4 linked regions of the Coturnix japonica genome follow. The protein of the gene in region 2 purifies or fractionates together with the protein of the main gene of each other region. This does not show direct contact. Links are inferred from orthologs where the notes say so. Each region holds a gene or a part of one and is shown on either strand. Other genes may lie near its edges.

Region 1 (7,407 bases), on a different chromosome or scaffold from region 2:
GGCACCTGAGGATGGGTTCAGCAGGAGCCACGCTACTCCTGCCCCAGCACCTTGGCACTGAGCAAGGGATCAGCTCTCGCCCCACACCCTGCCCCAAGCCCAGCCAAAAGGAGTGCTGCTGCCTTGCTCAGCCCTGATTTCAGCTCTGCAAAGCAACTCTTTTGCTGCAGCAGGCCATGTGGGGAGACTAGATTAGCACAGAGCTGCTGATGCTGTGGTTTTGTCAGCTTAAGAGCCCACAGCCCACTCAGTCAGCCTGAACCTCAGGCACCAGCCAGCTGCCAACAGCTGTGTGCTCAGCAGCTGGGTTTGGGGGGAAAGTTTAGTTAGAGCTCAAGAAGCACTAAGACAAGCCTCCTCAACGTCCAGATTTTCAGAGATATCCACTGGCTTCTGGGAATAAAATGCCTTTTGGGATCTAAGCCCGTGTAACTTGTGAGCCAGACTCCCTGGCACACAAGCAATACAGACCTTAATGAAGCCAACAGATCTCAAAGAGAAAAACTTTGCTCAGACTGAGTTTTCCACTACCCATGGAAGCTCAGTGCACCCAGAGGCATGAGATGCTACAAACCTCATGTGGCAACTTGCCTGCTGCTGAGTATGAGCTGTTAGCCTTGCACTAAAGGATGCTGAAACCTCCTGTTCTTATATCTGCCAGGCTGCCTACACCTTCTGCGTAACCTGTGCTTTCAGCAGCAGTTCTTGCAGTTCTTCTCTCTTTTCATTTTGAATAAATATGTTAAGTATTGTCGTTTCCATTTCAATTGACCCAGATGCCAAGACTGAACCTCTGCCCCTCCTGTAACAGTGATGCTTTTGCAGAGGTATCCTGAAGGAGCTGGCTGAGGTGGTTGCCGAGCCGCTCTCCATCATATTTGAGAAGTCGTGGCTGTCAGGTGAGGTCCCGGATGATTGGAGGAAGGTCACTCCCATTTACAAGAAGGGGAGCAGGGAGGACCCGGGTAACTACAGGCCGGTGAGTCTCACCTCCATGCCTGGGAAGATTATGGAACAGATCCTCCTGGACAACATGCTTGATCACATAAAGAACGAGCATGTGATCCGAGACAGCCAGCATGGCTTCACCAGGGGAAGGTCATGCTTAACTAATCTTGTGGCCTTCTATGATGGAGTGACGGTGTTGGTGGATGAAGGGAAGGCAACCGATGTCATTTACCTGGACCTGAGCAAGGCCTTTGACATGGTCCCCCATCACATCCTCATCTCCAAATTGGAGGGAGGTGGATTTGATGGGTGGACAACTAGATGGATAAGCAATTGGTTGAAAGGCCACAGACAGAGGGTGGTGGTCAATGGCTCTACGCCCAGGCGGAGGCCGGACACGAGCAGCGTCCCTCAAGGGTCTGTCTTGGGACCGGTGCTCTTTAACATCTTTATTAATGACATCGATGAGGGAATGGAGTGCACCCTCAGCAAGTTTGCTGATGACACCAAGCTGAGTGGTGCAGTCGATACGGTGGAGGGAACGGATGCCATTCAGAGGGACCTTGACAGGCTGGAAAGCTGGGCTCGGGTGAACCTAATGAGGTTCAACACGGCAAAGTGCAAGGTTTTGCACTTGGGCTGGAAGAACCCCAGGCACCTGTACAGGCTGGGAGGAGTTGTCCTTGAGAGCAGCTCGGCTGAAAAAGACCTAGGGGTCCTGATAGATGAGAAACTTAACATGAGCCAGCAGTGCGCTCTGGCGGCCCGGAAAGCAAATGGGACCTGAAGGGAACTTACTCCCAGGAGGGGAGTAAACTCTTCGAAAGGGCTGATAATAGCAGGACACGGGGAAATGGTTTTAAGTTGAAGGAGGGATGTTAGGGGAAAGTTCTGTACTAGAAGGGTGGTTAGGTCCTGGAACAGGCTGCCCAGTGAGGTTGTGGATGCCCCGTCCTTGGAGGTGTTCAAGACCAGGTTGGACGGGGCCCTGGGCAACCTGATCTAGTAAAGGTGTATGTTTGGTGGCCCTGCTAGGCAGGGGGGTTGGAACTACGTGATCCTTGAGGTCCCTTCCAACCCGGGTAATTCTGTGTGATTCTGTATCCGCATCAAGCTGGCAGTTGTGGGCAGCAGCACAAAGCCCAGTTAGCTCTGCTCTGTAATGCTCCAGAACAACAGCTTTTGTGTGCAGAACACAGACGTGCTTTTGGGTGGCAGGATCTTCCTTTGAGAAAAAAAAAAAACACTGTCTGGAGATGCTGGGGAAAGTCAACCAAGTTGACTTCAAAAAACCACACTCGTATTTTGCATATAACTGTGGTTTCAGTAACTTGGATTCTAAGGATTAAACAAAAAAAGGCATCATTCATCTCTGAAAGATCATCAGCAGTTTGCAGTTTAGCCAACTTACAATACTAATAGCTACAACAGCTCCATGAAAAAGGAAGAAATCCATCCTCTCCTCCTAACTTTTCCAAGTGCTGCCATCAAACAAATGGCAATTTCCCCTTTCTTTTACTCCTTTTTCAGGTTTCTCTCTCCCACACCACCAAGTAAAACACCCTTCCGACACGTAAGTGTTAAACGTACACCAAGAATTAGGTTTTTATAATCCTCTTGGCAACAACTGGGATATATTAACAAGGAAGAGAATGTGGAAGCTCCCAGACATCAAGGCAGTTTCACTTTAAGCACAGGCTGTGTGGGAAGTTACAAGGCAGCTCCTAATGACAGGTTTTGATGCTGCTCAGAATGTTTCAGGGCTCAGAAGTGGCTGCTGGGATCCCAGGAAGGGTCAGAATCCCCTCCTGTGCTTTACCTGCGTGGTCTGTGCGTATCCTTGGGCTGGCTGAGGTGCGTACGCGCTGTAGCTGCAAAATGAATTTCAAGATGTTTATGATGCATTCAAGTACTTGTGCAATACAGATATCACACAATGGCTTTTAAAGCCAAAATCTTTCTGCTCAAGTGTTAAAACAGCACATAATCCAATAGAAAACCAAAGGGATTGCAAAGCAGACCTGAGCTAAGACTAAACCACAATTACCACACACTTACATCACAACTTTTTATGATAAAAGGCCATAATGCTACTTACCCCTGCTGAGCTGCAGCTTGGCTATAGGTGCTATAATCTACAAGAGAAACAAAAACAGAAAGAAAGGTTGACAAAGACTCAACAAAATTAACAGTGTAAGAGCAGAGCAGCTGGAATTTCCTCCAGCAACTTGAAAGAACTGCTATAAACCCCTGGAAATCTAGTTTCAAAAGAGTAAGGTAAATGCATTTTCTCAGCCTTCTAAAGGGAAACAAAACCTCTCTTCCCTTTATTGTTTCTGCTGTCTGCAGCACCAACTTTGATCTCAAATGACCCCACTTTAATTGAACTGCCATTTTCGATGGCACCCAAGGGGGCTGGTAGTGGGGTTTGGAACAAAGGTAACATGGGGGCTGACACTTACAAACCCCCCTGTTTCAAAGGGCCAGGTTGTAAGCCCTTGAGTCTGTACGAAACACAGCACTTTGTCTATTTAACTCTCAAGGACACAAACCCATCACTGGCAAGTTCTCTTTTCCCTAGGAGGGATTGCGACCAGCAGCTGGCAGCAATTCCTTTCCCCAAGCTCCAGCCCATGTAAATAGTGTGATTTAGAGCAAAACTGAAATCCAGAAAATCCAACCAGAAGAAAAAAAACCTCTCCCGAACTGGCTTGCTGCTAGGGATGGAAAATGCATGCACACGGCAATTACCAGGCTATATTTGAAATGATTACAGCTCCTACGGGCACGCTTTCTTTCCCTCCAAGCCACCAAGTGTTTCCAGTTCCCACCTAGAGCAAATGGCAGCAATGAATCCAGCCCTACGAGCAAATCTTTCCTGGGACACTCCTCCAGCTCTGCCAGGACCGGAAAGGTCCCAAGGACAGAGATGAAGAACAGGTTCAGACTTTGCTCGTAGCATCCTGAGCTGGACTCGGAAACCAAACGTGCACAGAGCTCTGCTCAGAGCCAGGCAGCCCCACACAGAAAAGGGTTCTGACGTTTCTGCTGCTACCACACCTTGTGTTAAACTGGTCTCTATTGAATAAAATGAGGAGTGTGTGCCACCACACCTTGTGTTAAACTGGTCTCTATTGAATAAAATGAGGAGTGCGAGCTTGGAGAGGCTGCCTGAAGACTATCAACAGCACAACATCACCACCCTGCTACCACTGCAGGTGATGGAATCACGTTAAAAACGCTGTTTAGAATGGGATGGAAGGAACCTTAAATATCACCCAACCTCCCCCCACCAGCTCAGGCTGCCCAGGGCCCACCCCTGGCCTGTAGCAGGGCAGTGAATGGGGCACACACAGCTCCGTGCAGCCTCACCGCCCTCTCAATGACGGATTCCTGTTACCACCTCACCTCATTCTCCCCTATTGGAGTTTAAATCCCTCCCCCATCCTGTCGCTATTAGTTGCCGGACCCACCCGCTCTCATCCCTAACGACCGTGCGCGCCCCCATTGATGCCCGGGCCGCTCTCCACGAGGCCTCGCAGCGTTCGCTGACCGCCACAAACCCGGCCAAGCGTCAGGACCGGGCCCAGCAGCAGCGGCATCACGGCGACCCCCCACAGCGCAGTGACACGGTGCTGCCGAGCACAGCCACAGCCGCTCCCGCTCCGCACCGCGGCCCCACAGCCCCGCACCGCCCGGCTCCCAACAGGCCGCAGCACCGAGGGCCCAACGCCCCCCCTCAGCTCGGGCTGCCCTGAGGCCCAGGCTCCGATAAAGGATGCGGTATGGCCGAGTGCGGCCCGGCCCGCGGCCCCTCGTCCCGCCCATCACGCCGTGCCCTCCCCTCGGAGCCCCGTGTGCCGCCCCGCTCCGCCCGGCCCCGCTCACCCGTCGACGCCATTTTCTCTTCTTCCTCCTCCGCGCTCCCAACGTCCGGCCGCCGCGGCCGCCCCGCGCTGCGCATGCGCCGCCCCGCCCGGCGGGACGCACCACTGCGATCGGCGATGGGGGGCGCTGCGGTGGGCGGGGCTTAGGGCTCCCCCCGCGCTGAGCGGCGGGTGGTGCGGCCCGCCGCCGTTACGGAGCGGCGAGAGGGGGCGGGGCTTCGGTGTGGGCGTGGCTAAGGGGGCGTGGCTAAGCGTGACGTCACGTGAGTTGGCGGGATGTGGGCGCAGCGTGTCACGCGTGGCGTGATGGTGCGTGGGGGTATGAGGGTATGGGGGGCTATGGCTCCCTGTAATAGGGATCCAAGTGGTGACATAGCACTGGGTGGGGACCCTGCTATGGGTCAGTGCCCCCCTGGTGACATGGCACTGCGTGGGTGTCCCACTGGTGGTGCGTTATGAGTGTCCCATTGGTGACAGCAGTGAGTGCGTGTCCCTGCGTGTCCCTGCTGTGCTGTGGGTGCCCCCTGGTGCCGTGCTATGGGCGATGTCCCACGGGTGTCGTGGCACAGTGTGGGTGTCCCACAGACAACACGCTGCTATTGCTTGTCCCACGAGTGTCACGGTGTGGGTGTCCATTGTCCCATAGGTGTCATAGGATACCATGGGTGTCCCCCCCTCGGTGCCGCCCACCCGTGTCCCCACCCATCAAGCAGTGACACACGGCTCTGGGGACACCTTTAATGCCCAGGCAGTGCCAGGACGGCACACGGGATGCAGCCCCCCGAGCACCGGGGTGGCCGTGGGGGCCCTGTGCCCCCCAGCACGGGGGTGCAGAGCAGCAGGGCCAAAAGCTGGGGGGGTCCGACCGGTGCATTGGCACCGGGTAGCACCAGGACCTCCATGTACACAGCGGGGACACAGCGGGGCTGCACTCTTAGGGCTGGCCAGGGAGAGCCTGGTGGGTGGGGGGTGAGCGGCGACGCTTGGCACGGGGGGGGCTGGGTGCTGGTGGGCCCCCGGGGCCGCTGCCTGAGCCGGGTTCTGGTTCTGCAGGAGGAAAGGAGAGAGCTGTGAGGCCGTGGGGTGTGGGGTGTCACAGCTCCAAATGGTCCTCAGGGGCCCCTGTGCCACCGTGGGGTCTCGAGGCCGTCGGGTCCCACATCATCCCCACAGATCCCTGTGCCCCCATTGGGTGCTGCCCACCGTAGGGTCCCCATACCACCAGGTCCCTCCACCCCCATGAGGTCTCCTGGCACTGGGACATCCTTGTCACCACAAGATCCAACCCACCACGTCTCCATCACCATGAGGTCCCCAAGTGCCACCAACAACCCAGACACCTCCCATTCTGACACTGGGGACAGAAGGGGGCGGCTGGCCCTGGGTGTGCCCCCAGCTCCATGTGTCCCTTCACAGTGTCCCCCCACCACTACCACCCCAGCATGACCCCCACACCCCAAGGGATGAGGACCCCCCGCCTGGCACCCCCGGTTGGCACGCAGGGATGAGGACAGAGCCCCTGCAGCAAAGCACAGCTGGAAAGGGGGAACAGCAGGAGGGGGCAGCTGGTTATGGAGTCAGCCTCAGTGTGAGGGGGCTGGGGGCTCCTCCAGGGTCTCCTTTGGGCTTTGAGATGTTCCTGGGAGCTCCATGGTCTGCATGGCCCATTGATCCCTGGGGAGCCCCCAGGTGTCCCTTGGTGTCCCTCTCCCAGGAAGGCCACCAGGGACTCCCTTGGTTTGAGAAGGGCACTGGGTGGATCTCTTGCACCAAGAAGAGCTCCGGTGCCTCCTTGGTTCTCCTTGGAGAACAACCCTGATGGGCCTTCCTCAACATAAGAAGCTCTCCATGGTCTCCCTTGGTCCAAGAGGGACTCCAGATTCTCCCTTTAACCCAAGAGAAGCTCCAAGTTCTCCTTTGATCCTCGGGGATTTCCAAGGTCTGCCTTGGTCCAAGAGTGTCTCCATGGCCTCCCTCGGTCAAAGACTTGCTCTGTGGTCTCCCTTGTTCCTTGGGGCTCCCTGAGCCCTTGGAGCAACCCCTGGGTCCTTGGACACATCCAAGTCCTCCCTCAACCCAGGAGGGTCCCCTTGGTGCAAGTGATTCTCTCTGCCATCACTCTCAGCCCAAAAAGGTCTCAATGTCCCTCCATGATCCTTGAGCATCTCCAGGGCCTCCCTCAGCCCAACAGTCTCTCCTAGGGGTGGCTCTGGGGTCCCTCTCCATCCCTCCCCCCACTGCTGGGGGGTGTCTGACGCGGTGGTGGTGCAGTTACCTGGCCAGATGATGGCTTCCAGGAGGGTGACCCTTCTAGCCAGGACCTCCAGGCGGGCCTGCTGCCGCAGCAGGGCTTGGAAGCTACTGGCCTGGTGGAGAGTGAGAGAGCAGAGCAGAGCGTGGTTGCCCCATGGCACAGTGCGGGCGCAGCCGGGCCGGGGGGTGCAGTGCAAGCGTTGGGGGTGCCAGGTCTCCCAAAAGGGTGTGGGGTCTCCCATGGTCCCAGGGGGATGTGAGGGGCTCTCCTGTCCCCATGGGTCCAGGGAGGGGGCACTCACTGGGGAGTGCCACCCCT
Region 2 (6,797 bases):
TGGGAGGGATGCATTGTTTTGGTGTCTGTGCTGCTATTTCTGCACAGTTTGTCCATTGATTAGGGAATGGCTGAACTAGCACTTTGTACTAACATTATTCTAAAAGAGGCTCTGACTGTAAGATGACTAAACTTGGGCTGGACTTCCATCCTCAAATTCTTACTCTGTTTTTGAAGCTCCATGATGAGTGAAAGCGCCAATGTTGCTAGTCTGGGGGCTATGCCAACAGCTCAGCCATCCAATACAGGAATTCGAAAGCAGTGGCATGAAGATATTACTCAGGATCTCCGAAATCATCTTGTTCATAAATTGTGAGTAGCTAGTAACAAAACAATGGGCTGGGATGCAGAGCTTGTAAGGGTCAATGAGAAGGAAAGGCAAGAAGTGTGATGGGAGGTGTTCTTGCATTTCTTGTCCTTCATGGAGATGCACATGCTGCTTTGGGGCTGTTGTCTGGGAAATGTTCCATTCCATACTGAGCCCATCAACACACCTGGAGCATCACTCAGGGACAGCAGCAGTGCCTCAGTCCCTCAAAAAATTGCTTATTGCTTTCTGTTCCTATCAGTTGGGGTTAGTGCTGAGGTCCAGGTTTGGAAACATCCTAATAGCTTGCATGCTTTTTCTTCAGAGTCCAAGCCATATTTCCTACACCTGACCCTGCAGCATTGAAGGATCGGCGTATGGAGAATCTGGTGGCATATGCTCGGAAAGTGGAAGGCGATATGTATGAATCAGCAAACAGCAGGGTAAGATGCTGTCTTCTGTCACCTGGTTGTGTATCTCTAATCCCATCTGGTAGTGGTTGGAGAGGAAGAGGGGTAGAAAACAGAGGGTCCCAGAGCTGCTGGCTTGAGTCTAGGAACCAGCCAGCTGCAGATGTGCTGGGATTTGGGATGGTGCCTGTTTTGCTGTTCTATGCCTGAAATGTGCTGGATGAAAAGAAAAATTTTGTGTGGTGCCCTGATGATTGTCAGTTCCTGTGTTTGCCCACAAACCTCCCTGCCAGCCCTGCAGAGGGGAAGCTTCCTCCCTCCTGAGTTCGAATGTGCATGTTGAAGGATGTTTTCCAAGCTTTGCTGAGTGTGACCTGTTGCCTTATTTTAACGTCTCCTTCCCTTTCCTGGATTGTATTCCTCTCCCAACAGGCAGAGTATTATCACTTGCTAGCTGAGAAGATCTATAAGATTCAGAAGGAGCTGGAAGAAAAGCGAAGAACAAGGTTGCAGAAGCAAAACATGATACCAAGTGCTCCAGGCATGCCACAAGCTCCTGTGAATCAAGGACCTAACATGGGTCAGCCTCAGCCAGGGATGTCTGCAAGTAAGAACAGTTGGGTTAGTTGTTGCTTGGTACGGGTCAAATATATAGTGTTTTTCTGGTGTGCTGGTGAGCATTTTGGCAGTATTGTTTCATTGATACCTTGTTTACCCATCGTTAAACTGAACTTATTCATCTCTGTTTAGGAGTACTTGCAACATCTTTGTTTTGCTTATTTGTTAATTAATGACCATAGATTATCTAAAATTATTTGGTCTTGTGAGTATACTGAAGTATCCTAACCCTGTGTGCTAGATGAGAGGAGATAGAGGACATTGTAGAAATTCAGTCTCATTAATCTCACTTCTAGAATTGACTGGTAGTGTCTGAAGTTAAAACACGTTTTAATAGTATTTAACTGTCTGGTGTTTGAAATGATTATTGTTGCTGCTAAGCAGGAAGTCTGATAATCAAATTGTTTTCTACAAAATGTATTACTTATGCCTTTGAAAGTTCAGGTAGTGCTTGCCCTGTGCCATGTTTGTTTGTCGTGTTTGATGGTTTGGTTTGTTTTTTTGAACAAATAATTCTTATAGTGTGCTGTGACAACCAGGTTTCATTATTTTTCCCTATGTAGTTGTCTTGTGTTTCACAGTAGTTCTGTTAATGGACACTTATAATGCTAAACAGGTTATTACTATTATATTTCCTTATAACTAGGCATTTGCATGTTGAAGTGACTTTGGAAAGGAGCTAATGATCAAAGTTGTAATGCTACTGAGGACTGTTATCTTTTCACAGCATTAGGAAGTTATAGGACACAGTAGGCTTTGCCAGGTAACAGGTGAAAACAAGTAACACTAGTTCTTGCACTTGATATTTCTCTTCCATTCATTCGTTCCTGCATGGTTTTTAGATACTTCACAGTTAAAAACTGAGCTCTGAAGATGTCTAATCAGAGTAGATGTATAGCAGTCAGTGACAATATAATAAATTGTCCTAAGAACATGGAGTCAAAGTCAGAATTAGTCAGTTGAACAGGTAAGAATCAGGGGTTATTTTTCTTATGCTGCACGATGATCCAGTAGTTCCAGTGATATGCTATAAGAAGCTTAATCTGAGGGGTTTTTCTCCTTTTTGAATATGAATGTATATTGGTAATTCCAGTCTGGATCTTTTCATACTTGAACTTAGAACTGGGTTTACCAATATGCATTACCAAAAAGCAGGAAAGGCCTTTAAGATTGGTACTATGAATTTATTTGTTGTAACTTCCTCTAGATCAGGAGTAGATGTGATATTTTGGTTGTTTATCCCATATGCTAGAAGAACCAAACTTTGGAGATTTGATAAAGTACATCAAACCAGCCCATTTTTATAGTGTTTTCAATCAGGAGGTGCAGTAATAGCGTAGAGTAGTTTGCATAAATTCCTGTGGTCTGGAATGTTCACAAGCTGCTGAGTTTTTCATTGTACCTCAATAACATATTTCATATTTGTCCACATTTTAAAATCTGTCTGCAAGTCAGAATATCTTTAGTTAACTGGATATCAATTGGGTTTTACCTCATACTTGAGGGACTCTTAAGTATGCTTAGTTTAAAATTACTGGACAGTGTCCATGCTTGTTTTTTTTAACTCTTTTTTACAGGAAGATTTTCACTAGAATGATTAAAAAACTGGTGGTTTCTAAATGCCATAATCTTATTCCAGAATCTTTTTTTACAGATGGTCCTATAGCTGACCCCACACTGATACGTGCTAATGTGCCAAATCAGATGATGAATCGCATGCAGGCACAGCCAGGTAAATTTTATATGAAAATTTGCTACTGTGATTGTGAAAGAATTGTGGAGTTAGGTAGCTCTTGCTGAAGTGTTGTAGCCTTCGTTTCACCTGCTGTATTCCCACTTGTCCTGTACAGCCTGCTGTAGGGAGCCTTCTTTGCAGGGGGGTTGGTCTTGATGATCACTTGAGGTCCCTTCCAACCCCTATAATTCTTTATTCTGTGAGACCAAGAAAATAGATCTGTGCTTTATATACATATATGCGTGTGTGTATATAAATATTTGTGTGCGTTTCTGTGCACAGTGTTGTTTCATTTTCTTGGAGATGTGAGCTGCTTATTACTGCTTGCTTAGTTAAATGAGGAACTTAATTTTTTTTAAATTATTTTTAAGTTTCTGTGTGAACATGAGATGGTAGACCCGATCAGCTTAGGGTGAGGGCATGTCCAAAGCAGAGGGAGGATGATGAAAATTGCTGCTCTGGGGTAGAACCTTGGTTGTATTTTCAAGAAGTATTGCAGCCAATATAAGGAGCACTTAAATGAAGATTCACAGTCAGGATTTGCAATAAATTAACTTCTAGTCATTAAGATAATGCAAGCTATCACAAATTGTATGTGGGATTAAGTCCTTCAGGGGAAAAAAAGCCAATACGTATTCTGAAATAGCTTCAGTGCTTAGTACTTAAAATTGTTCTGTTAACTGACCAATAGGAGAAGAAGGTATTTCCATTACGTGCTTTCCATGGCATGACTGGAAATTTTTTCTTTAAAAAAAAAAAAAAAAAGAAAAAAAAGAAACTGACAGCATTCTTCAAATGTTGAATGGCGCCCAAAGGAGAATTCAGGCCTCTGATCATAAGTGGTTTTTTTTTTGTTGTTTGTTTGTTTGTTTTTGTCACAAATGTGCAGGAATGAATCAGTTTGGCCATATGAACATGCAGCTGTCACCAATGGGACCCCGGCAAACTCCTCCTCTTCAGCACCCTGGACAGCTAAGCCAGGCCGGGGCCATGAACCAGGTCAGTGTGCTTCCCTTCATCTTGGGTATTCAGCTCATGGGTTTCTGCTGTTGTGCCTTCCTTAAAATAAGCAAACAAAAACAAATACAATTTAAACATTATTCCTGTGTTCTGTAGGCACTTTGGCTTCTTATTTCTGCAGTGCCACAGAAGATGTGTCTGGTATGTGGTCAGCCTTGGTGATTTAATTAAAAATACATGTAATTTCCTTCACTGAAAACTAGGTTAAAGTGGAGTTTTGGGCTATTGCTCTCCTGAAGCAAGGAACAAATTGAAGTCACAGTCTGAAATCAGTATCCCTTTGGTTTGCAGATGTCATAATTTCTAACTTTTGAGAGTTATAGTAGACCTTCCATACTGTATCCTATGCATAAGTATCAATCAATCACACAATTTCTGAGGTGAGATAACTGTTTTTATAACATACGACAAAAGTATATGAAATAAGTTCCTTTCTTTTCCAACAGATGGGATTTCCTTCACGTATGCAACAACCAGGAGTTGGCCAACCTTCTGGTCAAAATCAGTTTCTGCAGCAGAACCCATTCCCTGCTTCTTCCCCAGGAATGAATGCAGCGAGCATGCCTATGACACAAACTAGCAATCAGACACCAGTTTCTCAAGTAAGTTTCCGATTTTTGGAGGTTGTGTTAGTGGGCTCTGTCATATGATGTTTTTTTATGTTCAAGTTTGTAATAATGGAGAATAATTTGTTTTATCAAGATGCTATTGGAGCTGTAACCATCTGAATTCATTTATTGAGGCTCAGCATTTTCCTGGCTATTGTGCTGGTAGTGGTATGGGTAAAATGTTGGCTTGTTCTCAGGCTTAAGTTTAAGTGACAGAGAATTATTTAAGTTTGTATCTGTGAAGGAAAGAGCTTGTTGCTCGTATATCTTGCTCATATAGTAAAGAACAGCAAAGCAGTAGAGACTGAGAAATTAAAAGATGCTGGAAGAACAAGGCTTAAAAAGGCATGTCCAACCACAACCATCAAATGTATTTTGCTGCCCTTTGGGGAATAGGATGGTTGTCACTACTAAAGATTGGAACTTCCAGTCTAGCAGTTTCTTTTCTGTCCTTTCCCTCTCCCTTTTCAGTGAGAACCTTTCAGGCCAGGAAGAAGTAGGGAACGTCAGTTTGCTTCTCGTTGATGCTTCTTCCTAGTTTGCAGGCAAGATTATTGTGAAGTGACAGCTTTTTTTTCTTGACCAGTACATCTTTTTGTAATCTCATAGCGCAGTTGCAGCTATATGTATTTCTGATGATAAATTCAGTTTCTAGTCTTGTGGGTGGGGGCATGGGCACACTGTATTTGAATCCATTCTTTCCACTGTCATGTATCGCCGCATATTCAGGGTGTACATATCTGCATTTTTTGAAAGAAATGTTTTGCAAACTGCAGGTGTAAGTGTGTCATTCTTTGAATGTATCGATGAGTATTATTTACTCTGAAACTTCTGTTTTAGAGCTGAGTATACTACAAACAGCTATATGTTCAAGTGATACAAAATGAAAAGCCTGTTTCTCCTTTTGAAATATATATATATTTTTAAGTTTGTCACTTTTTGAAAGAGTATGCCAGTAACTGTGGGAAAGCAGCCGTTTTAACATCTTTCTATTTGAAGTCATTGCAGATGTGTACTTGTTTTCCCACAGGCACAAATGAACAGCTCTTCCTGTCCTGTGAATTCTCCTGCCATGGCTCCAGGCTCTCAAGGGAGCCATATTCACTGCCCACCTCTTCCACAGCCTCCCATGCACCGAAATTCTCCTTCTCCAGTACCAAGTCGAACCCCAACACCTCACCATACACCCCCAGGCTTGGGATCACAGCAACAGCAGGCGGCAGCAGCTGCCACCACTGTCCCCACCCCTACTCCTCAGGCAATACCACCTGGACCACAGTCACAAACTATGCATCCCCCTCAGAGGCAGACTCCAACACCTCCGCAGGCACAGCTGCCTCCACAAGTCCAGCCTCCAGTTCCAGTTGCCCCCTCTGCAGAGCAGCAGCAGCAACCGTTGTCACAGCAGAGTACAACAGCGTCAGTTCCCACACCAACAGCACCACTGCAACCTCAGCACCCCACAACACCTGTAAGTAAATATTTTAATTGAACAAATGGGCAAATGTAAGGTTTAGGATCTGGTATTTCCACAGAGGAAGTAATTCTTTTCATGCATGTTGAGAAATGCACAGTGAAATATGCATGGGAGGTCATTAGTTATGTCTGCATATGCATAGTGATGGCATAGAATAGGGAAACAATATGAAATTATATACTAGACCTTCCAGTGAATGTCTGCTGTGCTTTCTTCTATAACTAGACTTGTGTTAGCAGTATGTACTTCAGGTTAAGCAAGTGGAAGTACCAAAGTGAATTTGAACTTGATGGAAATAAGGTTATAGGTAAAAGGTAGATCAGAGCATAGAAAAATAATAGGTTAATTAGAAGTCTGTCTGTAATGTGTTTTGGTTTTTTTTGTTTTGTCTTTTTACTCCTTAGCTGTCACAACCAGCTGTAAGCATTGATGGGCAGGTGTCCAACCCCCCATCCACCAGCAGCACAGAAGTGAGCTCACAGCAGACTGCAGCAGAGCAGCAGCAGCCACCTTTGCAGGAAGTGAAAATGGAGATAAAAACAGATGAAGGGGAACCAGAACAAACAGAGCTGCAGATGGAGGAGAAATCTGAGGTGAGCTGTCGGTTTGTTGTTGGAGAGAAT
Region 3 (7,540 bases), on a different chromosome or scaffold from region 2:
GTGTGGCGTCAATTGGCTCAGTATAACCACAGTGTGGGCCCAGCAAGGCCCCGGTGTAGGCCCCAGTAAGGCCCACAGTGCGGCCCCATTTACCACACAGCAGCTGTGGGGCCGCAGCCATGGACTGGGCACAGCTGGGACATCACCAGAGGATGAAGGAGCTGAGAAAGGCTGCAGGGCTCAGCAGGGACCCCCAGGAGGCTTCTTTTGGTGTGGGGTCCCTTGTGGGCCCTGCCCTGGTTACGGGTCCCCTCATGCACTGCTGGGCATGAGCTGCCTCCCACCCTGCGGGGCTGCAGATCAACATTCGCCGCATCCCTTGTGCTCGTCAGAAAGAAGAACTCCTACACGAGCTCTCAGCTCCTTCCCCAGCAATCCAGAATAGAATCGGGGAAGCCCTTCAGCTGCACTGTGACTCATCCCCGGGACACGGCAGTTATTTTTGCAGCACGGAGCGGTCGATGCACATGGGGACACGATCTGTGCCTGCTCTGCAAGAAGCAGGTACCCCAGGGCTCAGCTCCAGCTCTGGGTAAGAGCTATACTGCTGCTGTGGGTCAGCTGTTGCAGGACAAAGCAGTGCTGCCACCACACGCTGCAGCCAGCAAGAAGGCAGGCAGGATCCCTGCAGGCAGCCAACACAAGGAGGGGATAAATATTCGCTCTACATGTCCTATGTCCATCCAGGCTGGGGTTGATTTATCAGCAAACATCTCTGAACTTTCACAAGGGATTCCTGTATGTGCAACCTGCGGCCTTTCAGAGCTCAGCCAGCCCCCCCAGTGGCTGTTTGCTCTGTAAGCAGGAGAGGAGGATGCTCCATGGCCACCAGCTTCTCCAGAACCACCTCCACAGGGCAGAGGAGGGACCAGCACAGCCTCAGAGGTAAAGCAGCCCTCAAACCACACTCAGCTCATGGCTCAGCCCCAGGAGCCACGAGGACACTGTGCCTACCTCAGCAGGGCCACAAGGGGCACAGCCCCAAACTGAACTCCAAGCAGCTCTGAAGCCTGAGCAGGAACAGAGGGGTTATTATGCAACGCAGGCCAGAGTAAAATATTTATCAGAGTTTAAATAAGTAACACGCAGGAAGCCAGGCAGAAAGAAAGAGGAGTGACGGACAAAGAGGGGAAGGAAGTGGCTCATCCCTTATCACCACCAGGATGGGGCACAGCTGCCCTCAGCCCCACTCCAGGACTGTCCCCACTGTTCCTACCATGTGCCACTGTCTCACAAGGGCACTCCCTCATCTCCCAGCACCCACACTGGGATACCTGCCTGGTGCTGAGGCTGCTCACATCCCAGTTACAAAGTGAAGGCCACAGTCAGTAGAAACCTTTATTAAACACGAAGCTCAGCGGAACACAAGCTTGTTAAAGGCAGTAAGTGAAAGTGCGGCTCCAGCCTGGCCCCAGGGTCCCTCCATCCTCCCTTGGAGCCAGGGAGGAGGAAACAAACCCAAAACGCACTCAGCCTGAAGGGCTGCGCAGGAAATGAAAGAGAAAGCCTGGAGACAACATTTGGTCCTCACTGGGCCATGGGGGTCCACATATTCCCCATCCTCATAACATCCTGGGGACACCCCCAGCCCACCCCAACATTCTTCCCGCAGCCATCTGATGCCTGCAGCTCTGGGGCCAGCAATACCCTGCCGGGACCCTCCTCCTGTACCATCTCCCCCCCAGCACCCACTCCTGCTGTCCCGGGAGAGCCCCTCATGGCATAAATAATAAATAAATACCCCGCAGAGCTGGCCCCTCCCAGCACAAGGAAACCTCGCGGCACCCCCAGACCACCACATCCCCCACCCCCCCTTGACCCCTCCTGGGAAACTAAACGCTGTCCCCAAGGAACAATAATAAATTAATCCAATCTATACACAGGACTGCTTAAAGCTCTGCCACGGGCACCCTATGGCTGCCCGCAGTGGGTGGGGGGGCACCCAATGGGGACCCCTTGCTCCCCAGCATCCTCCTCTTGGGACAGGAGTAGGCCCCAATGTGGGCTCAAGCACCAAGCTGGGCTCTGTCCCATCATGGCACAGAGATGCCGGATAGGAGGGAAGAAAATATTGCAGAGGGGACGGATGGAGGGGGCCCAGGGCTGCTGCAGCACAGGGACCCCAGGAAGGCACCAGAGCCACACCAAGGCACAGGGCACCACGTGGCTGTCCTCAGCCCTGCCTGCGTCCCCCCCCTTGGCAGTGGGATAGCTTCTGAAATCAGGACAAGAGCCTCAGAAGTCCAAGTGCGTGAAGTCCCCAAAGTCACAGTCAAAGAGTTCACTGATGCCCTCACCCTCCTCCAGGCCGAAGTGGTAATCCTGTGCCTGTGGTGGTGACAGGGCAATGAACTCATCCGCCAGGAAGCCCGAGAAATCGTCCTTGGCCTGCTCCAGAAGGGTGTCCATGGAGGCCAGCGGTGACAGGCTCACATCCTCTGTGGAGCACTTGGAGGGCAGTGCTGTGCCTGGTAGCAGTGCTTCTGTGGGGACAGAGCGAGGCTGTCAGCCCCACAGCACACACCAGAACTGCTGTGTTCTAAGCTACTGAGGCCATGCAGATGGCACACAAAGCATCAGGAGTGATCAGAAACATCCAGGCCAACTGGGCAGCGTGACTCAGACCACTTGCTGAGTGGTGGGACAAAGAGGGACAGTGTCCTTTCCTAAGCAGAAAGATCCAGGGCTGTCTCTGCCAAGCTTGGGTAGGAGCAGAGCCCACAGCTGGGTGGATCACAGAATACCCCAATTTAAAAAGGACTCGCTCATAAGGATCATTGAGTCCAACTACTTGGCACTGCATGAGCATGGAGGTCAGGCTCCTCCTAACACACAGCCAAGACCTCAGCCCTGTAACCTCGTGCTCCTGGAACTGGAACAACAGTGATAACACTGTCCCCACACCACAGAGCCCAGGCAGTGCCCCCATTCCATTCCATTCCCATCCCATCCCATCCCATCCCATCCCATCCCATCCCATCCCATCCCATCCCATCCCATCCCTTCCCATCCCATTCCCATCCCATTCCCATCCCCATCCCCACCTTGCTCACCAGGCAGCAGCATGTTGACATCCTGAGCAGGATGCAGGAGCGGGGAGGCTCTCTGCTGCGATGAGCCAGGGGACAGCTCCTCAGCAGGTGCCTTGAAGGGGCTCTTGACGGGGCTGCAGACCCCTGAGCTGTCCTCGGGGCAGAGGAACACGTCGATGGGGCCCTGAGTGCTTTTCACTGAGACCTGGAAAGCCTGGGGACAGGAGGGACATGGAGTGCCAAGGTGGAGTTGTACCGAGGGCTGTGAAGATCCATGGGGAGGAGAGACCCCTCACTCACCTCTGCCGGGTCTGAGACTTGCAGCTGGGTCTCTGGGGGTGCCTTGATAACCATCACCATTTGCTCAGAGGGGTCCACAATGCTCCGAAGGTCCTGGCAGGTGACGTAGGCTGCGGTGCGGCGGGTCAAGGAGCAGACACGGGGCCACATTCACACCCAAAACCCCACACAGTGACCATAAGTGTCAGAGCAGGGGGGGGCTCCATTCCCCAACAGCTCTCCAGCCCATCCAGCCCCATCCCGGCCCCGCACCGAAGGATATTGCTGGTTGGAGGGATCCTCGGTGAGCAGCCGCAGCTGCACCGTGCACGTCTGGATGAGCTCGTCCAGCTGCCGTTCTGCCGCCTGCAGATCCCGCAGCTCCTTCTCCAGCAGCTGCTGTCGGCTTGAAGCCCCCGCGGCCACCTGGCTGCCCCTGGGGTACACAGGGCTGTCACCCCCAGCACTAACACCCCACTGCTGCCATCACCTCCCGATCTCAGGGTGGAACCCAACCTCCCTCCCTCCACCCAACCCTGGCAGCTTCGGTGTTATCCCCCCACCCTGATGGACATACATCCACTGGATGTGGTTCTTGGACTTCTTGCGGATGAGCTGGATGCCCTCCAGGACATTGGTGATGTCGTAGATGCGCCTCTTCTGCACCTTCAGCACCTCGGCCGCCCAGTTGAGATCCACCACACCATCGGGGGATTGGCTGAGCAGCTCCAGGAAGCGCTTGGTGGTGAGGTTCAGTGAGGTTTCATAGCGGGATTTCTCCCCAGGAGACTTTGCCCCTGTTGGGGACAGGTGCAAGATTCAGCCGTGGGGCGCGGGGCAGCCCCAGCACCGCCACACCCGGCAGGTGAGCAGCACCCGGCAGCTGCTGGCAATGGGAAGCTCGGGGGATGGTGCTGCAGGGCCCCGAGACTGAGCCCTGACAGCGAGCAGCCGGGCAGGGCCCAGCGCTCTACGGGGACGGCAGGTGGCAGAGGGGAAGAGGGAGGTGACGAGGCCCATCCCGAAGGGCTCAGGCCGGCAGCACAGCGGGGCCGTACCTCTGCCGGGGATGCGGGCCCTGCCGCGGGCGGCGGGCAGGCTGTCGGCGATGTACTGGTGATCCGTCTCCAAGTTCAGCTTCCGCTTCACCTGCGGGACAGGGCGTCCTCAGCGCGGGGACGCGGAACGCACCGCGGCGGCAGGGCCGGGCCCCGGCCTGTGGGGGCAGCCCCGCGCAACGGCGCTGCCGGGCGGAAGGCGGCCTCGGCGGCGGCTTCCGGAGCGGCGGTGCCCCGCGCGGCCGGGCTCTGACGGGGGGGGGGGGGGGGGTCCCGCGTGGGCACCGCGACGTCCCGGCCCCGCCCGGCGGCCCGCTCAGCCCCGCTCAGCCCCGCTCCCTCCCCCGTCCCGCGGTTACCGGCGGGCGGCCCAGCGTGGGGCGGCGCGGCGCGGGGCCGGGCTGGGAGGGCTGCGGCGTGGCGAAGAGCAGGAGGTCGGCGTCGGGGCGGCAGCCGCCCGCGGGCTCCTCGGAGGCCGAGACGATGAGGAGGTGCGGGGAGGAGCCGCCCAGCAGCGCCGCCAGCCCCGCCGCGCCGCCCGCCGTAGCCATGGCTCAGGTGACGGGCGGCGCGGGGCGCGGGGCCGCGGCCGGGGCGGGGGCGCGGCCCATTGCCGGGCGCGGGGCCGATCCGCGGGGCCGTTCCCCAGGTCGTTCCGGGCCGTTCCGGGTTGTACCGGGCCGTGCCGGGCCGTGCCGGGCTGTGCCGGGCTGTCCCGCGCTCCGGCCCCGCGCGCCTTTGCGCGCCAAATCCTTTTTGCCGCGAAAGCGGCGCCAACCTCCCCGCGCCCGCCCATTGGCTGCGCCCAACGCCGAGCGCTGAGGCGGGGGTGCGGGGAAACCGTCTGATTGGTCGAGGTCGCCGGAGGGAGGGGCGGTGCCGGCCGCCCATTGGTTAAGGGCGGCGGCGGCGGACGCGCTGACAGGCGGCCAATCAGAACCGCCGAGCTGAGGCAGGAGCCAATCGGGAGGCGTCTCGGGGACGCGGCCGTGGCGCCGCGTGGGTGAGGAGCGCGGCCGGGCCTTAAAGGGGCCGAGGGCGGCGCGGAGCTGGTCCCGCGTGGGGTCACTCACAGACGGGTCTGAGCGCCGGGCGCTCCCTGCACTGCTGGGCTAGAGCTGCCCGTGACGCTGTGCGGGCTGCGGGGCTGAGCTGCGTGTCCGTGGCGGTGCGGGCGGTGCAGGGCAGGGCAGCCCATAGTCAAAGCCGCGGGACGTGGCGTGGGCGGCTCCCGCCGTCTGTATCCCGTGTGCGGGGCGCTGATAACCTCAATGTGCCTCCAACGGAGCCCAACCCACAGGGACATAAACACCCCCCCATCTCGGTACTGCGGGGCCGGAGTTGGAGCTGCGGCCGCAGCGGGGCTCAGCGGGACGGCCGGGTTAGCGCTGGGTGCGGGCGGTGCCTCACAGCGGGGATGTAGTGAACGCTGAGCGGTGTTTTGCTGCTCGTTCTTCCTGTGGCTGCGGAGCCCACGGCCCAGCCCTGCAGCACAGCACCGAACGGCAGCACCGCTCCGCTTGGCGGCGGTGAGCGCTGTTAATTAACGCTCGGCCCTTGCGATAACCCGCACCCCGGTCACGGCGATATCCCCGTTAGCGAGTGGTACGAGCAGCAGTTACACGCCAGATGCGGCCCGTTGGTGCCGCCCCGCCCGGACACACGGTCCCACCCGCCCCGGCTGCGGGGCCGTTCCGGGGCCGCGGGCTGTGAGCGGCAGCTGCGGCACCAGCTGCTCCCACCGCGCTCACAAAGGCCGGGGCAGCTGGGGGCAGCACGGGTTTGTTTTATTCCCCCCTCCCTCATTCATACGGCAGTTTATGCAGGGGGAGCGGGCTCCCCCCCCCAACCTCCCCCGTGCCAATTCGCCGAGGCTTTCAGCTCTTGTGGCACTTGAAAAGGGCAGATGCAAAGACAAATGAAAGGCAAAACAGTCACTGCGACAAATGCTGAGGGGGGAAAGGGGGCTTTTCCCCACCCGCGGATGAATCCCACCTGGCACAGCTGCGGGTGGTGATAAGCTGCCAATGGGTGCTGAGCCCTGATAGCTGCCAGTGCTGCACTGCATCTCCTGCTGGGCTGGGGGGGGTCAGAGGGCTCTGCAAGCTGCAGGCTTGGCCAACGTTATCCCTTTGTGGGCATGATTATGGACAGCCTGTGGGTCTCTAAGGCCACGCACGGTCATCTGCTGGTGGTGGGAGCACACAGGGGAGCTGGGAGGATGCAAATCTGGACTCAAACCATCCCTGCTCTGACCTCAGGGAGGGTTTGATCACAGCACTGCCCCTGGGTTCCTGCTGGGACACATTCAGCATCCCAGACTGCTGCTTTGGATTCCTACAGAGGGACCCGACCCCACATCGTTGTCCTGCCTTCTTTCAGGTTGGAACGGCGTTTTGGGTGTTTTTCCACATGGGAGATGGCACAAGTGGATCCTGCTTCCCAAGAGTTAGGAATCCTTCCTTTCGTTGTATTACTATACAGAACGCTACAGTAGCAATTTTGCCCCCAGGATACCAGCTATGGCCTTGGATGCTGAACAGAGCAAGTTCAGCTCCTTTACTTCCTTCTCTTTTACAGTGGTATCCAATGTTGAAACTCAGTATCAACCTGCGGTCCCAGGGTGAGGGCAGCAGGGCCATGGAAGCTGCTCGCCCCCCGAACCAAGACAGCCTTGTGAAGCCCCTGTGAGCCAGAGAAGTCACTGCCTGCCTCCCAAATGAGCTGCTGAACGCTGCTCCATCCCACCAGGCTCTCAGGCTGCCTTCAGCCCAGTGTGCTGGCTTACAAGGGGAGAATAGGGCAGGATGTCTTCTGCAGAGAGCCAGAGCCATCCAGGAGCATGGCTGGGGAAGAACATCTTCTGTGCTTTAAGCTTCGTACAGCACTGGGCTTGGACTCACTGTGACTTGGACTCTGTGACTTCACCCAGCCTGAGCTCACTTCCCAGCAGGTGCACAGCGCAGCCATTGGCACCGCAAAGCCAGAGGGTGGGTGAGGCACCAGCTCAGAGCTTCACCTGGAATTATGGCTTGGTACGATATGAAAGGAAAAACAAACATTGGAAGATAAGGCTGCAATCAGCCCACAGGTGTCAGTCTGGCTTCTCCCAGCCCTGGGCAGCCAGCTCTATGCTGGGGCTGCTCAGTGCTCCCATCCCCAAGGGGCTCC
Region 4 (7,358 bases), on a different chromosome or scaffold from region 2:
GCAGCCCCAGCACGTACCTGTCTCCTCTCCAGACCCATCGCTGCTATCGTTGGCGTTCTCTTCCCGGATCTTGCCCTCCTCCTTCATCCTCTCCAGGTAGGCATCGTGCTGGTCCTCATCAGAGTCGGCATATTCGTCATAACTCTGCTTCATACCCTGCAGGAGGGACAGAGTGAGAGCTGCTCTCCATGCTGACCACATCTGCATACAGTCCATTCTCTAGAAACTACAAGCATGCACGGCCAGGCTGGGAAACACACAGCGTCCCATCTGTCTCCCTGTCTTCTCATCAGGGATGCAGAGAGGGGCAGGAAAGGTTCCCAAAGGTGTTATCTGAGTTAGGTGGGGGCCCCTCTTGCAAATCATGCTGCAGTTACTGAGTTTAGTCAGAGACCAACACAGCCATGCAGAGGAAACCTGCACCAGGAGGAGGAAGGAGAAAGAGGAAGGGGTATCGCACGGACCTTTTTCCTCTACAAGGGTAAGGAAAGAAAAGAAAGGTGAAAAATAATAATAATAAAAGGAATAAAAGCAGCAAAACTTTGGAGAGAAGAAAAAAGGCCCCAAGTCATCTCCCCACCCCAGCCTGCAGGCCACTGATTCTAGCAGGGCACAGAGAACCAGCCCTGTGCAGCAGGTACCTCCTTGAGGCCTCGGTTCTTGATGTTCAGTTTCTTGGCATTGACGAAATCAAAGAGCTTCCCGTACTCCTCCCTATAGCAGAGACAAAGTGGTCAGGGACAGGTTGAGCTTTTTACACCTTGTTACATCAGTAAGGATCCACCACGTGTAACCAACATGGAGGACACAGGGACAAGGGGGCTGAGTGGCAGGACAGAGAACAGCCCTGTGTTACAGTAAGAGCTCGCTCCGTGCCCACCTCTCTATGCTGCTGAAGGTGTACTGTGTGCCCTGCTTGGTCTCGATCTCAAAGTCAAAGGAGCGGGTGGTGGTGGTCCCACGGGCAAAGTTGACAAAGGAGATCTCATCAAAGCGGATGTGTACTGGTGGCTTGTGAACGTAGATGAAACCACGCTCCAGTGGGTAGAGAAGTCCTGAGCTGGCCTTGTAGGAGCAGGTGATGCACTGGGCTCCAGAATGTCTGTGAGGGCAAACATTGCCATGTCACATCAACAGGAAGCAAACAGCCCCACAGTGAGACAGCAGCTTTGTTAAGTCCACCAACCACCCCCACGGGGTAAAATTCTTGCAAAACCCCTTCATCCTAACTACAGAAAGAGATGTTGGCCCTGCTGTCCAAGTCAGGAAGGGCTCTCAAGCAGCTGGCCTGAAACCACAGAAACAAGAAGAATGTCCTTTCCTAAGGACAACAAGGCAAATTTTGCCTCTGCCCCTACCACCATGCACGCCCTTAGTGTAAAAAGGTCCCACATTCCCTCGCCCAGCCAGAAGCAACAGCATGCCTCACCCCTGGAAATTGCCAGGCACAGTGATCTTGCGGTTCACCAGTGCCTTCATAACCCGGCTGACCATCTCATAGAGGGAGCCTGACATGTTCTTGGTGAGCCGCCCCTCAAAGCGTTTCTCCACCTCTTCCCTGTGTGGCAAAAATAGAGGATAATGACAAAAGTAGGGACCAAGGAGATTCATTACCTGCACTCCTAGCTCTCCCCACAGCCCCCAGATCCAGGGAGGGGGAGAAGGGAGTTGCCTGGAGAGAACTCACTCATTCATGTTGAGGGTCAGTGAGATGTCTTCATCCTTTGAGAAAAGCAGGATAAGGAAGTGGTAGCGGGTCTGGCCCTGCTTTATCGGGGGATCCAGGCTAATCTGAAAAGAGAAGAGGAGATGAGGACCCAAAAACCCTCAAAACAATTTCCTGAGAAAGGGAGGACCACTCAACCCCTCCTCACCACAAAGAACATCTGCCTTTGGTCCTTGTGTGGGAGCAGGAAGAGGCGCAGCACAGTGGTGTAGGGGATTTTGTAGTCAAAGGTCTTGCCGTGGAGGTGCAGGAAGGTGGGGTAGATGCGGATGTCGTATCGCCCGCGAGGCGTCAAACACTGCAGCTCCCGGAAGATGCAGATGGCATCACCAGTTGCCTGAATCACATCCGCCTTGGAGAGTACATTCTGAGCAAAGGCCTATAAGGAGAAGGAGCTGTGGTCAGGCACTAGGCGAGGGCAACCAACTAGCCCTCCTGTGCCTCACTCACCTCCACAGGGTCAACACCATCCTCCTGGGTAGGGGGGACGTAGAAGCGAACCTCCATGAGCGAGACCTCAGCGTCATCGTTCTGGTGGAACTCCAGCGTCACTTCGTTCTTGCCCGTCGTGCACTGGGAGACATTGCTGAGGGGGATCTCAAACACCGGCTGCTCCCCGATGTCAAAGGAGAGAAGCTGCCCTACAGGAAGTGGGGAGGGATAAGAACCTCAGGTCAACCCTGCTGGGCAGACCCAAGGTGAGTTCCATCCCAGATCCAAACTCCAGAAGCAGCATCGTTCTTCTCTCAAAACCCAGCAGTGCCTCCCCTCTCCCTCCCTTCTTTTCAATGTTTTCAACGCAGATATCCAGGCTTTCTCCTCCCAGCTACAGTAACAGAGAATTATATTGATCAAAAACAAATAGGCTGTTTATTCCCCTCTTCCTCCTCTCTCAGAGCAGGGAGGGGCATTCACCAGCTCTTCTGGCTCCCTGAGGAATTGGCAGGCTCTATTAGATGCTCACAGCTCCCATGCAGATTTCTCTTTTACATTGAGCATTCTCTGCCTACCCCCACCCCGAACATGCTGTGCTGCCTGCAAGTATCTCCTGCTTTCCTGGGATGACCGACATCCATACTGTATCCAAAACCACCACTAAAAAAGGGAGCAGTTTTCCAGAGGAGCATCTAAAGCTGTCAACAGCCAGGGGCTGGTGGGATGAAGACACTGACCCACCAGATGCCCATCCAGCCCCACCACCTTGACCTACACACTGCAGACTCTCTTGCTCCAGCAGCAGCATCACCGCTCTGTTCCTGTCTTACCATAACTCACCTCCAAACCTCACTGTGCCCCAGTTCCAACCCTTCACACACAGGTCCTTCTCAGCCAGCTCCAGGCGATAGTGTGCCTTGAAGAAATCTGAGAGCTTATCAAACTCCTGTGAGGGGTGGGAAAGAACAGAGAAAAAGTGAACGCTCATCAGAAACTGCTGTGTACGCATCAGCACGACCCAGAGCCTGTAACTGGGACATTGCCCATGGTACGAGAGAAGTGATGAGAAAAAAACAGACATCAGCTGCTGTTAAAGGGAAGGAGATCAGCTCTGTGAGATATGGCAGATCCTGCAGGCAGTGTAACCCGATACAGAGCAAGCAAAGAGACTGTGGCACAAGCGAGCTGAAGAAAGGATGGTCAGCATGGCTCAGACAACAGTCAGAAACGGCACGGACTCACCGATTCCCGGAAACCATCGTATTTGTAGACATGGCCATTCTTGGTGAGAAGCTTGAGGCCGTGACCGAGCGCCACACGCCGCCACACACCCTCTGCCAGCTCCGAGGCCTGGATGTTGTCCACCTTCCCTGTCTTGCTGTTCTTGAAGATGACGCCCTGGCGGCTCAGCCGCAGCCGGCCATCGTTCTGGTGGGAGGTGGGTGTGAGGTACAGGCAGCTTGCCCCGTGCACATGGAGGGGAGCAGCCCAAGGGTGGGAACTTCCACGCAGCACAGACAGCTGCTAAGCTCTCCCAGGGGACGCAAAGCGAATTCCCCAACCACCCACCAGTTTCTGTTCTCCATGCACTCCTTACCACCCTCCTTTGGGATTCAGGCAGCCGGGTTGCCAGCAGCCTCGGTACTAGAGCTCCATCAGGCATTTAGGAACAGTCTCCCAGATGCCACAGGGTAACCCAGAAATGCTCAACATCACTGCAGCATGGCACTGCGCCCCACCCCCCCAAGCACTGGAACAGGCTGATTTACAGCACCCAGCTGCCCAGCAGTAGCTACTGCATCAAAGGGTGAATGCTTGAAGCTGGCATCCCTTCCCCTGGACACGTTCCCAACCACAACCTTGCTAGCTCCGCAACAGGCTGCTACTAAAAGCCCCTGTTGATGCTCCAAAATGCTTCAGCTCTGGAAACAAGGCGCCTCAGCTCCCATTTCCAGTCGAGCTCAGCAAAACAAGCTCTGCCAGGACAAGGCAGCGGAAGAGCTGCAGGGATGGGGGGGGGGGGGCCATACCGCACCCCTGGGTGTACAGCTGAGACCAGGCCTCAGAGCCACACCGTGTGCCTCCAGCCTGTGAGATGGGGCGAGCACTCCTGGCATCAGGCAGCACCCCAGATAGCTGCCCCCAGCACCGAGCTGCTCACCATGGATCCCTTCACCTCCTGGTAGATCTCGTTGAACTCCAGCGTGTCAGCCATGACGAAGGGGGCCGTGCTGGCAGGCAGGCAGGAGGAGGCCGGAGTTCAGCTCCGTGCCGAGGTCGGCATGCCCTGCTGCCACCGAGCAGCGACGTGCTGGGGGCGGAGGAGGGGGGAGAAAGTGAGTACGGACATGGGAACCCCAGAGCGATCCGTGAGGGATGTGACCCCACAGCAACACCCCCCCCTTAACGCCTCCCCGGGGCTCCCAGGGCCGTTGATCCTCCCGTCCCACTACAGAAGGGGCACAACAGCCCTGAGCAGCCCCTACCACCCCTTGTTCCTAGGCCCCACGCCCCCATCCGCCGCCCCACAGCTCACACCGGCCGCCCCCCCTCCCATCACCCCCTCCCCCCAGCGCCCTCCCCACCCATCACCCCCCCCCCGTCAGCCGACCCCTCGTTTCCCGCCTGCGCAACACGAACCTCGCGCGAAGCCGCCTCCCCCCACAACCGCCTCCCGCGCCGCGGCCGGAACCCGCCCCCACTTCCGCCATAGAGACGAGCCGCCGCTCGGCCGCTCTGGCATGGAGGCGGCGGGGTGGAAGGAGGGCGGGCTAGAGCGGCCGCTCCCCGAAGCGGCGGTCTGTCTCACCTGGAACCATAGAGAGGAGGGAGGCCTCCAGCCGGAAAGTGGGGGGGCTGCTTCCCATTGGCTGAGCCGGGTGATCCCCGTGACGTTATGGTGGCTGTGCCCGGCACATGGCGGGTCGGGGTACAGCTCTAATAGGGCACTGCGGAATGGGGGTACGGCCAACGTGGGGCACCCCGCGTAAAGGGCAGCCCTACAGCGGGACACAGCGATATGGGACCCGGCCAGGCGCTGCGAGATGGCACACGGGGTCCGCGAGCACAGAGACACCCGGAGTGGGACCATCCCGAGTGCGGGGCATTAAAAACCAGAGTCACACTATTCAACACAGGGCACACAGCAACAACAACAGGGCATACAGCCCCCAACAACGGGGCACACAGCCCCAACAACAGGGCACACAACCCCAGTAGGGCACACAGCCCCCCAGGGCACCCGGGCAGCGCTGCCCCGTGTAGCACCGCCGCACAACCAGCCCTCTCTCACCGCCTCTCTCAGCCCTCCCCCCACCCACATCCTCCTCCCCTCCCTCCTCCTCCTTCCCCCCGTGCCCCCTCCCTCCATCTCCCCCTGCCCCCCCTCCCGCTCCCTCCGTCCTGTGCCCACCCCTCTGCACCACCCCGCCCGCATCCCTGCCCACATCCCCGCATCGCTGCCTTTATCTGCCCGCATCCCTGCCCGCTGCCTGTATCCCTGCCTCGCTCCCTGCGTCCGTCCCTTCCCACCGCCCGTATCCCCACCCGTATCCTTGTGGAGCCCCTGCTTGTGCCCCCGCCCGGCTGCCCATGCCCCCCCAGCGCTCCCAGTCCGGCTGCCTGGCTGATTTCTTCTCCTACGAGACCACCAAGTCGGTGGTGGTGAAGAGCTGGGTGGTGGGCGTCGTCAACCGGGTCGTGCAGCTCCTCATCCTTTCCTACTTCATCGGGTGAGAGACCCTCCCAACGGGACCCCGCTCCTCTGCTGGTGTCCCCCCACCCCTCGGCAGACGCTGCTCCCGGTGTACACGGTTTCCCTGATGCCGTGGTGACAAGCTGGGGACCGGGAGGGTGACACCGAGAGGGGACGTTGGGTGGGTGCATGATGTGGGGTCAGGAGGGTGTCGTGGGAATGGCAGCTGCCCGCTGGGTGTGGGGGTGGGAACCAGGCTGTGAGAAGTGATGACAGCCACGGGCAGAGGGGGACAGGTGGCTGGCAGCGTGTCTGCGATGGGGACACCAAGTGACACAAGGGAAGGTGATGGGAGGGTGGCTGTTGGCGTGGATGATGGAGAGGAGAGGAAGGGATGGATGTTGAGGAGCATATTGAACCCCATGGGGTGACACAGGCAGGTGACAAGTGGCTGTCGGAGGGCTGGTGACAGGAGGACTGTCTGCGGGTGGCAGGGGGCCAACCAGCTGTCCCCATAGCCTGACCCCTCCACCCCACAGCTGGGTGTTCCTGCATGAGAAGGCCTACCAGGTGCGGGACACTGTCATCGAGTCCTCGGTGGTGACCAAAGTGAAGGGCATCGGGAAATATGGCAACCGCGTCCTGGACACAGCAGACTACGTCACCCCCCCACAGGCAGGAGACAGCAGGGAACCCACCCCGAGCCCTCCTACCTCGTCTCAAATAACCCCAATAGTCCCCGTGTGGCATGGGGCTGGAAGGGGGGTGGTGGTGACACGGTGTCCCCATCACCGCAGGGCACCTCGGTGTTCGTGGTGGTCACCAAGCAGATCCTGACGGAGAATCAAGAGCAGGGCGTCTGCCCAGAGGTATGGAGACACAGGGGGTGGCATGGGGGGCACCGGTGTGCCCCGACCCACAGACACCCCCCCTCCACAGAGTGAAGCCACATACCGGTGTGCGTCCAACCGTGACTGTCAGGGGAAGGGCCGCACCACAGGCAGTGGTGAGTTTTAAGGGAGGGGGATCCCAAAAACCACAGGGTTTGAGCCCACCCGCATTATGGCCACAGGGGTGCTGACAGGACGCTGCATCCCCTACAATGTGACCCTGCGCACCTGTGAGATCCGGGGCTGGTGCCCACCCGAGGTGGACACTGTCGATGTGTGAGTGTGCAGCAGCAGCAGGAGGGGGGATAAACACGGTGCCCTCTGCCCCATTCAGGACCACCACCTCTCTCCCCACAGCCCTGTGATGCTGGAGGCTGAAAACTTCACCCTCTTCATCAAGAACAGCGTCCGCTTCCCACTGTTTGGCTTCGAGAAGTGAGTGGCACTGAGGGCACACGGGATGGGCTCTCACTGCTGGAGGCTCACAGCCGTGCCCCCCCCCCCCTCAGGGCCAACCTGCCCCCCCATGTCAGCGCAGGAGAGCTGCAGCGCTGCCGCTTCCACCCCGAGCAGCAGCCGCTGTGCCCCATCCTGCGGCTGGGGGACGTGGCAC

Evidence for each region. The genes of interacting proteins can lie anywhere in the genome.
Region 1: the proteins of EP300 (region 2) and EWSR1 purify together in Homo sapiens (affinity purification with mass spectrometry; 3 studies listed by BioGRID and IntAct, with this or other methods). This does not show direct contact. The link is inferred for Coturnix japonica from reciprocal best matches to the Homo sapiens genes EP300 and EWSR1.
Region 3: the proteins of EP300 (region 2) and E2F1 purify together in Homo sapiens (affinity purification with western blotting, with the first as the bait; 3 studies listed by BioGRID). This does not show direct contact. The link is inferred for Coturnix japonica from reciprocal best matches to the Homo sapiens genes EP300 and E2F1.
Region 4: the proteins of EP300 (region 2) and SSRP1 purify together in Homo sapiens (affinity purification with mass spectrometry, with the first as the bait; 3 studies listed by BioGRID). This does not show direct contact. The link is inferred for Coturnix japonica from reciprocal best matches to the Homo sapiens genes EP300 and SSRP1.

The regions. Positions count from the first base shown.
Region 1 is NC_029530.1:9,975,440-9,982,846, forward strand, and holds the start of EWSR1 (RNA-binding protein EWS), read right to left. Parts: upstream 4,936-7,407; 5' UTR 4,913-4,935; coding exon 4,837-4,912; intron 3,084-4,836; coding exon 3,047-3,083; intron 2,820-3,046; coding exon 2,768-2,819; intron 1-2,767. Other genes in the region: EMID1 (EMI domain-containing protein 1), read right to left, coding at 5,770-5,882. UniProt on the Homo sapiens protein: Binds to ssRNA containing the consensus sequence 5'-AGGUAA-3'. Might normally function as a transcriptional repressor. EWS-fusion-proteins (EFPS) may play a role in the tumorigenic process.
Region 2 is NC_029516.1:45,419,615-45,426,411, reverse strand, and holds part of EP300 (histone acetyltransferase p300), read left to right. Parts: intron 1-176; coding exon 177-311; intron 312-631; coding exon 632-749; intron 750-1,148; coding exon 1,149-1,323; intron 1,324-2,988; coding exon 2,989-3,066; intron 3,067-3,958; coding exon 3,959-4,068; intron 4,069-4,535; coding exon 4,536-4,691; intron 4,692-5,727; coding exon 5,728-6,168; intron 6,169-6,578; coding exon 6,579-6,767; intron 6,768-6,797. UniProt on the Homo sapiens protein: Functions as a histone acetyltransferase and regulates transcription via chromatin remodeling. Acetylates all four core histones in nucleosomes. Histone acetylation gives an epigenetic tag for transcriptional activation.
Region 3 is NC_029535.1:1,932,077-1,939,616, reverse strand, and holds E2F1 (transcription factor E2F1), read right to left. Parts: upstream 4,936-7,540; 5' UTR 4,921-4,935; coding exon 4,729-4,920; intron 4,461-4,728; coding exon 4,370-4,460; intron 4,109-4,369; coding exon 3,889-4,108; intron 3,748-3,888; coding exon 3,595-3,747; intron 3,448-3,594; coding exon 3,333-3,447; intron 3,247-3,332; coding exon 3,054-3,246; intron 2,484-3,053; coding exon 2,236-2,483; 3' UTR 1,325-2,235; downstream 1-1,324. UniProt on the Homo sapiens protein: Transcription activator that binds DNA cooperatively with DP proteins through the E2 recognition site, 5'-TTTC[CG]CGC-3' found in the promoter region of a number of genes whose products are involved in cell cycle regulation or in DNA replication.
Region 4 is NC_029520.1:7,751,883-7,759,240, forward strand, and holds the start of SSRP1 (FACT complex subunit SSRP1), read right to left. Parts: upstream 4,936-7,358; 5' UTR 4,802-4,935; exon of another isoform or gene 4,773-4,801; intron 4,473-4,772; 5' UTR 4,377-4,472; coding exon 4,323-4,376; intron 3,590-4,322; coding exon 3,404-3,589; intron 3,108-3,403; coding exon 3,002-3,107; intron 2,368-3,001; coding exon 2,177-2,367; intron 2,106-2,176; coding exon 1,875-2,105; intron 1,792-1,874; coding exon 1,688-1,791; intron 1,559-1,687; coding exon 1,430-1,558; intron 1,103-1,429; coding exon 881-1,102; intron 715-880; coding exon 642-714; intron 157-641; coding exon 18-156; intron 1-17. Other genes in the region: P2RX3 (P2X purinoceptor 3), read left to right, coding at 5,753-5,892, 6,395-6,530, 6,653-6,724, 6,795-6,861, 6,928-7,021, 7,103-7,180, 7,255-7,358. UniProt on the Homo sapiens protein: Component of the FACT complex, a general chromatin factor that acts to reorganize nucleosomes. The FACT complex is involved in multiple processes that require DNA as a template such as mRNA elongation, DNA replication and DNA repair.